Saccharomyces cerevisiae S288C: one gene and its partners. Changing the gene in region 3 together with the main gene of any one other region gives a genetic interaction. Each region holds a gene or a part of one and is shown on either strand. Other genes may lie near its edges.

Region 1 (2,929 bases), on a different chromosome or scaffold from region 3:
TGAATCTTTATTGGCTGTTCCTTATTTTTAGAGTTCTTTACAGGATTCTATGGAGAGGTATTCTCAAGGATGACAGAAGTGATAGTGAATCAGACGAAGAAAGTGATGAAAGTTCCACTACTCCAACTGACAGTACTCCAACGAAAAAGGATATTTGAAGGAAAACGGTGTTTTTAAGTAGTATAACCATTACACATTAATTCTTTACACATTAATTCTTTTACGGTCCTGCTCTCACGTTCTTCCTTATTGGTTTATGTAAACAGGTATTTTTATAGTATTCTTTTCCAGACATACAGTGTTATCTTTTTTTCTTGCTTTCGTGCCGCTAAAGAGCTGTGAAGATCAAAAGTGATTTACGCTTAGTTAGCATGAATATAAATTCTCAGTTGAAAAGAAGCTATGTTACATTTATGAGCGTTGCTTTAGTATATCTATACAAAAAAAAGAAATTTTTATACAATGGTCTATTAAAAAAGGCTTCCAAATAATAGTTCAGCTTATTCCATGTTGATGTTAGTGCTTTCAACAGTGGAGCTATCGTTGTCATAGTAGGCCGACACCTTGACTTTGAATTCAGAAGCAGCGATACCGAATTGTTTCAGTATTAAAGCTTGACGAACATCTAATTTTTCTCCTTCAGTGCAAACTAAATATGGACTGTCAATGGTGATCTTACCAGCTTTGATTTTAGTTGGAATTTCAAATTTGTTTCTCATAGTTGGCTCTAAAGAATGAATCATTGGAACATCTTCCTCAGCTGGAATTTGACCACCACGTGAGTAGACAATGCCCTCAGGAATTGTAAATGTTAGTGGTGCTTTCGTGTTCGGTCTTGAATAGTCTGAACGAACGTATGACTTAAAGTATTCCTTGACAGTGTTGACATCCTCATCAGTGAACAATAAACCAGTGACACCGCTACAAAGCTTACTCAATTGATACAGATTTTCTTTGTATTCTTCTTCCCTCTTTTCTCCCAATGCTTTTTGTAAAACTTTCCTCTTACCCATAATTAACTTAGAGCCTGCCCAAGATGTTCTGATTTCTTGTAAAACTGGAGTTCTTACGTCGTCAAGATGTAGGACCCAGACGTATCTATAAGTATCTAAGGCTTCCCTCACTTCATCGAAAATTCTTTCTTTATTTTCTCTGCCCTTTTTATCGGTTTGTGCTAAAGTGACTAGCTTGGAACGTTTTGATCTTGGCATGATTCAACTATAATAAATCTTTTATGGACGATAGACAGTGATGTACGTATAGCAAAAGGAATCAGCTCTGCTTAGCCAAAGTACTACAAATATTTGCAACTTTTCAAAAGCTCATCGCATTTTTCTGGAAAAAAATTTTTTCTTTCACCTTCGCCGGGTAAAGTCCTAATGGTTGGGTTTTCTGAACTGAAATCAAATTGTGGGATCATAGCCAACAGTAGTTGGAAAGGGGAATAGCTTTGATCATACCCAGGGAAAGACCACTTTCTGGGATCGATACTTTCCTTTCTGTGTGCTTTATTAACAACAATATATCTCAGGTGTGAAAATTTTGGATAAACATTTAAAATAGAAGAGTAGCCAAGCATGTCTGAAAATAATTCGCACAACCTTGATGAACATGAGTCCCATAGCGAAAACAGTGATTATATGATGGATACGCAGGTAGAAGATGACTATGATGAGGATGGCCATGTACAGGGTGAGTACTCTTATTATCCTGATGAAGATGAAGATGAACATATGCTTTCTAGCGTCGGAAGTTTTGAGGCAGATGATGGTGAAGATGACGATAACGATTACCATCATGAAGATGATTCTGGACTTTTATATGGATATCATAGAACTCAGAATGGCAGTGACGAAGACAGAAATGAAGAAGAAGATGGACTTGAACGTTCTCACGATAATAATGAATTTGGCAGCAACCCCCTACATTTACCTGACATTTTGGAAACATTCGCACAAAGACTAGAACAAAGAAGACAAACAAGTGAAGGACTTGGGCAACACCCGGTTGGAAGAACACTACCCGAGATTTTATCGATGATTGGAGGAAGGATGGAGAGGAGCGCAGAGAGTTCGGCAAGGAATGAGCGGATTTCTAAATTGATAGAGAATACTGGGAATGCCTCCGAGGATCCTTATATTGCAATGGAGAGTTTAAAAGAACTTTCTGAAAACATATTAATGATGAATCAAATGGTTGTCGATAGAATTATACCGATGGAAACCTTAATAGGTAATATAGCTGCCATACTCTCTGATAAAATTTTACGGGAAGAATTAGAATTACAAATGCAAGCTTGTAGATGCATGTATAATCTTTTTGAGGTCTGCCCTGAATCTATTTCAATAGCTGTTGATGAACACGTTATACCAATTTTACAAGGAAAATTGGTAGAGATCAGTTACATTGACCTCGCAGAACAAGTTTTAGAAACGGTGGAATATATTTCTAGAGTACATGGGAGAGACATTTTAAAAACGGGCCAATTATCAATCTACGTCCAATTCTTCGATTTTTTAACTATACATGCGCAGAGGAAGGCTATCGCAATTGTTTCGAACGCCTGTAGCAGTATCCGAACGGATGACTTTAAGACCATTGTTGAAGTACTTCCAACGCTGAAGCCAATTTTCTCGAATGCGACAGACCAACCAATATTAACCAGGCTTGTAAATGCCATGTACGGTATTTGCGGGGCGTTGCATGGGGTTGACAAATTTGAGACTTTGTTTTCGTTGGATTTAATCGAAAGAATAGTTCAGCTAGTTTCTATTCAGGATACCCCCTTGGAGAATAAACTGAAATGTTTGGATATTTTAACCGTATTAGCGATGAGTAGTGATGTACTTTCAAGAGAACTGAGAGAGAAAACTGACATTGTCGACATGGCAACACGATCATTCCAGCATTATAGTAAAAGTCCTAACGC
Region 2 (3,625 bases), on a different chromosome or scaffold from region 3:
TGTTTGTTTATTTGTTTTGGGAACGCGGTATTACCTCTCATTTCTCTGAGCGACTTTTCAACTTGGCGCGCCGACATTTGCGCTTTTTTTTACAAGTTGTCAAACTCTCGGATTATTTAAAAAAAAGGGTTTTTTGCTCTTCTTGTTCCCATCTACGGGTTTCACGGAAAAACTACCCCGAAAAAGAAGCACAGCTTTATAAAAAGACCGTATTAATTTGCTTTATTGGGTAATAACGGGGCATTCGGGACATACAATCATACGCTAGATGCTGCGTGTAATAATTAACATTGTAAATCCCTATCTTTTTTTTTTATATAAGTAGAGTACTTTAAAAAGAGTGGACGACTGAGTTCATATACAAGCAGACGCCCTTTCATTTAATCTCAATCTTGTTTCAGGCCGGCTTTTGTCCATAACTGCTACGCTGCGTAAAAAAAAAATAAGAGAAATTGAAAAATATGGGCGTCGTCTAAGGATGGTAACTAGCTTCATTATACTATGGGTCTTCCTTCTTTTCCAACGCTTCCACTTTGACCTCAATCTCTTCTCGATGGCCTAAGGTAGCAAGGTTGTGTTAAAAAAAACAAATACATCAGAGCAAGACACTTTTGGGTTTATTAGGTATTATAGGTATAGGTCAATTAATTTCTTATCTTTTGTTGAGAGGATAAGGGTAATATTAGCGACCCTTAAGTAATTTTTGTTCTGTTTTACTTCAGTTTAATAAAAGCGACTGCCGCCGACCTTACTCCCTTTTTTTTATTATGCTCCTCGAGACAAGGTCGCTTAAAAAAAAAAAAAAGCTTAGTCAGACATGCAATCAGCGCAATTTATGGAAGCTGGAAAGGGGGGCCGCATTTTATGCACTATCTCTTGAATTCAAAAAGTAATTCAGGCCAAATTAACTAAGGATGCAAATGAAGCGAGTACTGAACGAATAGTCATGTTCTGAATTTCAAGCATTCAAATTTTGCTTTTCAGCGCTGTTCATCTTAGCGCTTACCATAAAGAGGAATACGTAATTCAACAACGGAGTTGAAAAATTTTTAAAATCGTGCCGGTGTTAGTGAGAAGAGGATGGAGGGAATTAATACTTCGATGGAAGATGCAACTTGCAAATGTAGTCCGGTTACCAAGAGACCCAAACCTCTTCCACTTTACTATTTCTCCTTTGAGAAATATATCAGTTTGCGGTAATAGGTAATATGAAAAAGGCAATAAAAAAAAGAGATACTTGTCACCATCTCGTCTCCCTTTACCTTTTTTACTTAATCTTCTTCGTCGTCATCTGTTCCATCCCTTTCCTAGCTTAGTCTTCTCCGGCTAGTTCTTAGTGCGGTGAGCAAAAAAAATAGCGTTTTTTTTCCCTCACCAGGACTTTTTTTGTTAACCGAAAATCGGCATCTCTAGTTTTCCTGGACAAAAAAGGCAAAATGGAAATAAACACTCATACGAATCAGTAAAGATGTAAATAATCGCAGTAACGACTGCACAAGGATGTCAGAAAAAGCAGTTTAATTCCAGAAGTGGTTTTCCAATTTATCACACATGTACATGAAGGGAAATGTATAAATACGGTCTTCGTAAAACAAAGGATCTCTTCACCTGGTTTCTTCATTTATAAGTAGTGTCTTTTTCGGTAACTTAAGATATATCCTTATTTCTTTCCCACTTCTCGTTATTTCTTCTTTTTCCCTTTTCAAGTTCTTCTTTTTATTTATTATTAAGCTTATTTTAATTCTTAGATCGTTGTCACTATCTTTTGTCCTTATTGTTAAGAAACATTGCGAAGAAAAAGAATAATAAAAGAAACTCAGAAAAAAAAAAAGTTTCCTCGAACAAAAATATTATTATTTCAATAACTTTTTCTTTCTCTACATCCAATTTTTTGACCCTATTTTAACATTAATTTTTTGCTTTAATTTTAACTAATACCTAATTTCACTTAATATCTAATCATCTTCCTTTAACCCACAGAACAAAGAAGAAAAATAACAATGTCTACCTTTGAAACTTTAATTAAAAGAGGTGGTAACGAAGCCATCAAAATTAACCCTCCAACCGGTGCGGATTTCCACATCACTAGTCGTGGTTCCGATTGGTTCTGGACATGTTTCTGTTGTTACCTATTATTTGGTTTAATTTTAACATTCTTAATGTTCAGAAAACCAGTCAATGACAGATTCTTTTACCTTACCGGTATTGCTCCAAACTTTTTCATGTGTATCGCTTATTTCACCATGGCTTCTAACTTAGGTTGGATTCCAGTCAAGGCTAAGTACAACCATGTCCAAACTTCTACTCAAAAAGAACATCCAGGTTACAGACAAATCTTCTACTCTAGATTCGTTGGTTGGTTCTTAGCTTTGCCATGGCCAATTATTCAAATCTGTATGCTAGCTGGTACCCCATTCTGGCAAATGGCTTTCAATGTTTGTATTACTGAATTCTTCACTGTTTGTTGGTTGATCGCTGCCTGTGTTCACTCCACTTACAAATGGGGTTACTACACCATCGGTCTAGGTGCTGCTATTGTCGTTAGTATCAGTGTTATGACCACCAGTTACAACTTGGTGAAACAAAGAGATAACGATATCAGGTTGACATTCCTTGTTTTCTTCAGCATTATTATGTTCTTGTGGATTATTGCTTACCCAACTTGTTTCGGTATTACCGATGGTGGTAACGTTTTGCAGCCAGACTCTGCCGGTATTTTCTATGGTATCATTGATCTTATTTTGATGTGTTTCATTCCAACTTTATTGGTTCCAATTGCTAACCACTTCGGTGCTGACAAATTGGGCTACCATTTCGGACCTAGTGATGCCGAAGCAGTGATGGCTCCAAAAGCTCCAGTTGCTAGTCCAAGACCTGCTGCTACACCAAACTTGAGTAAGGACAAGAAAAAGAAGTCTAAGAAGAGCAAGAAATCTAAGAAGTCTAAGAAGTCTGAAGAATAAGCCAATCGTCATGTCAATTATGTGCTACTTTCTTCTTTCTTTCAATCATCTTTGAAGAATTTTCTACTTCAAGCCAATCCTATAAATGGATAAAACTGTCTTTATTGATTATTTGACAAGATTATTTTACTCCATCTTCAACTTTTATCATATTTTATTTTATTTTCCTGACGTTTCAATATTTTCGTTCGTTAAATTATCACCATTTCTTGTCGAATTTTTATTTTCTATCATAAAGTGCAATTCTAGACTCATTTTTTAATTTAATGGATCCATTTAATCCATTTCGTCAAGCAAGTATGTTTTCATAACAATATTTTGCTCAGTGCATTTTGATCAAGAAACGTATAGTTGATGATTAGAAACGAGCTTTTTTATGCCCATCGTCATCTATATATATATTTGTATCACTTTAATAGTTATTTTAATATTTGATAACAACCTTTCTAATAGTATTGTTATGGAAGGTTTAGTGCTGGAGGAAAAAAAAGAAAGATAAAGGCACGGTGCCTGCTTTGCGCGGCATTCTCGAGAAAAATAGTTCTCGGACTTTTGACGTGCCAGTGCAATTATCCGTACACAATTTTATATCAATCTACAGGCAAAATTATTACGTAAACAGACAAACTACCATGTTAAAACGTCTTGTTCTTCTAACCTGT
Region 3 (3,175 bases):
AAACATATCGAGAAAAGGGTCATGTCTGCTGTTAACGTTGCACCTGAATTGATTAATGCCGACAACACAATTACCTACGATGCGATTGTCATCGGTGCTGGTGTTATCGGTCCATGTGTTGCTACTGGTCTAGCAAGAAAGGGTAAGAAAGTTCTTATCGTAGAACGTGACTGGGCTATGCCTGATAGAATTGTTGGTGAATTGATGCAACCAGGTGGTGTTAGAGCATTGAGAAGTCTGGGTATGATTCAATCTATCAACAACATCGAAGCATATCCTGTTACCGGTTATACCGTCTTTTTCAACGGCGAACAAGTTGATATTCCATACCCTTACAAGGCCGATATCCCTAAAGTTGAAAAATTGAAGGACTTGGTCAAAGATGGTAATGACAAGGTCTTGGAAGACAGCACTATTCACATCAAGGATTACGAAGATGATGAAAGAGAAAGGGGTGTTGCTTTTGTTCATGGTAGATTCTTGAACAACTTGAGAAACATTACTGCTCAAGAGCCAAATGTTACTAGAGTGCAAGGTAACTGTATTGAGATATTGAAGGATGAAAAGAATGAGGTTGTTGGTGCCAAGGTTGACATTGATGGCCGTGGCAAGGTGGAATTCAAAGCCCACTTGACATTTATCTGTGACGGTATCTTTTCACGTTTCAGAAAGGAATTGCACCCAGACCATGTTCCAACTGTCGGTTCTTCGTTTGTCGGTATGTCTTTGTTCAATGCTAAGAATCCTGCTCCTATGCACGGTCACGTTATTCTTGGTAGTGATCATATGCCAATCTTGGTTTACCAAATCAGTCCAGAAGAAACAAGAATCCTTTGTGCTTACAACTCTCCAAAGGTCCCAGCTGATATCAAGAGTTGGATGATTAAGGATGTCCAACCTTTCATTCCAAAGAGTCTACGTCCTTCATTTGATGAAGCCGTCAGCCAAGGTAAATTTAGAGCTATGCCAAACTCCTACTTGCCAGCTAGACAAAACGACGTCACTGGTATGTGTGTTATCGGTGACGCTCTAAATATGAGACATCCATTGACTGGTGGTGGTATGACTGTCGGTTTGCATGATGTTGTCTTGTTGATTAAGAAAATAGGTGACCTAGACTTCAGCGACCGTGAAAAGGTTTTGGATGAATTACTAGACTACCATTTCGAAAGAAAGAGTTACGATTCCGTTATTAACGTTTTGTCAGTGGCTTTGTATTCTTTGTTCGCTGCTGACAGCGATAACTTGAAGGCATTACAAAAAGGTTGTTTCAAATATTTCCAAAGAGGTGGCGATTGTGTCAACAAACCCGTTGAATTTCTGTCTGGTGTCTTGCCAAAGCCTTTGCAATTGACCAGGGTTTTCTTCGCTGTCGCTTTTTACACCATTTACTTGAACATGGAAGAACGTGGTTTCTTGGGATTACCAATGGCTTTATTGGAAGGTATTATGATTTTGATCACAGCTATTAGAGTATTCACCCCATTTTTGTTTGGTGAGTTGATTGGTTAACTACAGCTTATAAGGGAGAGAGGATAGGAACCGTCAAACATTAAGCTGCACCTTTTTTTTTTATTACAGAAGTCGGCTTGGAAGGCTTGTATAGTACATTACGATAAACACATCTTATTTTTATTTATTACTTATTTATTTTACATATTTTCAAAAAAATTCACATATCATTTATTATTAACCGAAGTGTTTTATACTTTTTGTTCTTTCCTTAAAAATGCCTCCAACAGAAAAGGAAAAATGGCTTGATATGCTTCAAAATATGCATTGAGATTCATATTCGGTTATCAATTAACGATATTACTTCCTTAAGTGATATTAAATCAAGCTTGCCGGATTCTGCAGTCAGAATTATACATAATAGTATTTGTGCTCTCGTAAATCCTTTCAGAATTACACCATAGTAGTCTTTGTGAATGTTCTACTTATTAGAATAGATTATTGCTAGTTTATCTCACTTTTCATTCCCCATATCCCTTTTTTTGCTCATCCCCCGGGGTATTTTATCAAGATAAAATTTTATATACATGCAGTGCGCGATAACTCCTAGAGAGGCAGTAATAGCAAAACAAAGACAGTATAAGCATTATTTGGGTATGGAAAGACCATTGTGGGTACGTTGGTTGAAAGTCTATGCAATTGGTGGCGCTATTATTGGAAGCGGGTTTCTGCTTTTCAAGTACACAACGCCAACAGATCAACAGTTAATCAGCCAGCTTTCCCCAGAATTACGTTTACAATATGAGAGGGAGAAAAAACTACGTCAGTCGGAGCAGCAGGCTTTGATGAAAATTGTTAAGGAAACTTCTCAAAGTGACGATCCAATTTGGAAGACGGGCCCCCTTCAATCACCTTGGGAAAGGAACGGTGATAACGTTCAAAGCAGAGATCACTTTGCTAAGGTGAGGGCGGAGGAGGTGCAAAAAGAAGAGTTGGCTAGGATCAGAAATGAACTGTCTCAGCTAAGATCTGAAACGGAGGAGAAAACAAAGGAAATAGTCCAGGATAAGCAGGTTAAAAGCTGGTGGCGCTTCTGGTAGATGGGTCGGGTCACTCAATTAGGAAGGGCAGCTTGAACTTTTGCATCCTAAAACATACGTCTGTGTCATTTATGATATATTATTTATTTGTACACTGTAAATAGGTTTAAAAATATAACTTCATACTTATTTTTAGCTATTTTAGTTCCCATACTTGGGGATGGAAAAAACATTGCGCAAGCCCGGAATCGAACCGGGGGCCCAACGATGGCAACGTTGGATTTTACCACTAAACCACTTGCGCTTGTTATTTATATGAGATTATTGCATCATGCAATGGGGTAATGTCAAGGTTCTTGACAATCCTAATATAAACAGTCTTAGGGAAGTAACCAGTTGTCAAAACGGTTTATCAGCTTGATTCACGGGATCTTACTTATCCTATATATTATATAAAATATGGATCATACTAAATGGTGGAAGCGCGGAATCTTGGATCTAAACCAATTGTTCAGATACTTATACGTTAGAGTAGGTTAGCTAAGGAAGGCAGAGTTTTATTTTCATGTTGCTCATTCTGTTCGTTTTGCTGTAAGGTTGTTTCATATGTGTTTTATGAACGTTTAGGATGATGTATTGTCATACTGAGGTATCCCATTCTGAGATACAACAGAGAAGGTTCC

Evidence for each region.
Region 1: mutations in CBP4 (region 3) and MRT4 together harm fitness more than expected from each alone (negative genetic interaction), as found in Saccharomyces cerevisiae (2 studies listed by BioGRID).
Region 2: mutations in CBP4 (region 3) and MRH1 together harm fitness more than expected from each alone (negative genetic interaction), as found in Saccharomyces cerevisiae (2 studies listed by BioGRID).

The regions. Positions count from the first base shown.
Region 1 is NC_001143.9:424,524-427,452, reverse strand, and holds MRT4 (ribosome assembly factor MRT4), read right to left. Parts: upstream 1,212-2,929; coding exon 501-1,211; downstream 1-500. Other genes in the region: sphingosine N-acyltransferase LAC1, read left to right, coding at 1-158; putative ubiquitin-protein ligase UFD4, read left to right, coding at 1,578-2,929. UniProt on the Saccharomyces cerevisiae protein: Component of the ribosome assembly machinery. Nuclear paralog of the ribosomal protein P0, it binds pre-60S subunits at an early stage of assembly in the nucleolus, and is replaced by P0 in cytoplasmic pre-60S subunits and mature 80S ribosomes.
Region 2 is NC_001136.10:506,147-509,771, forward strand, and holds MRH1 (Mrh1p), read left to right. Parts: upstream 1-2,000; coding exon 2,001-2,963; downstream 2,964-3,625. Other genes in the region: LYS14 (Lys14p), read right to left, coding at 3,591-3,625.
Region 3 is NC_001139.9:845,270-848,444, reverse strand, and holds CBP4 (Cbp4p), read left to right. Parts: upstream 1-2,039; coding exon 2,040-2,552; downstream 2,553-3,175. Other genes in the region: ERG1 (squalene monooxygenase), read left to right, coding at 22-1,512; YGR174W-A (uncharacterized protein), read right to left, coding at 1,704-1,790.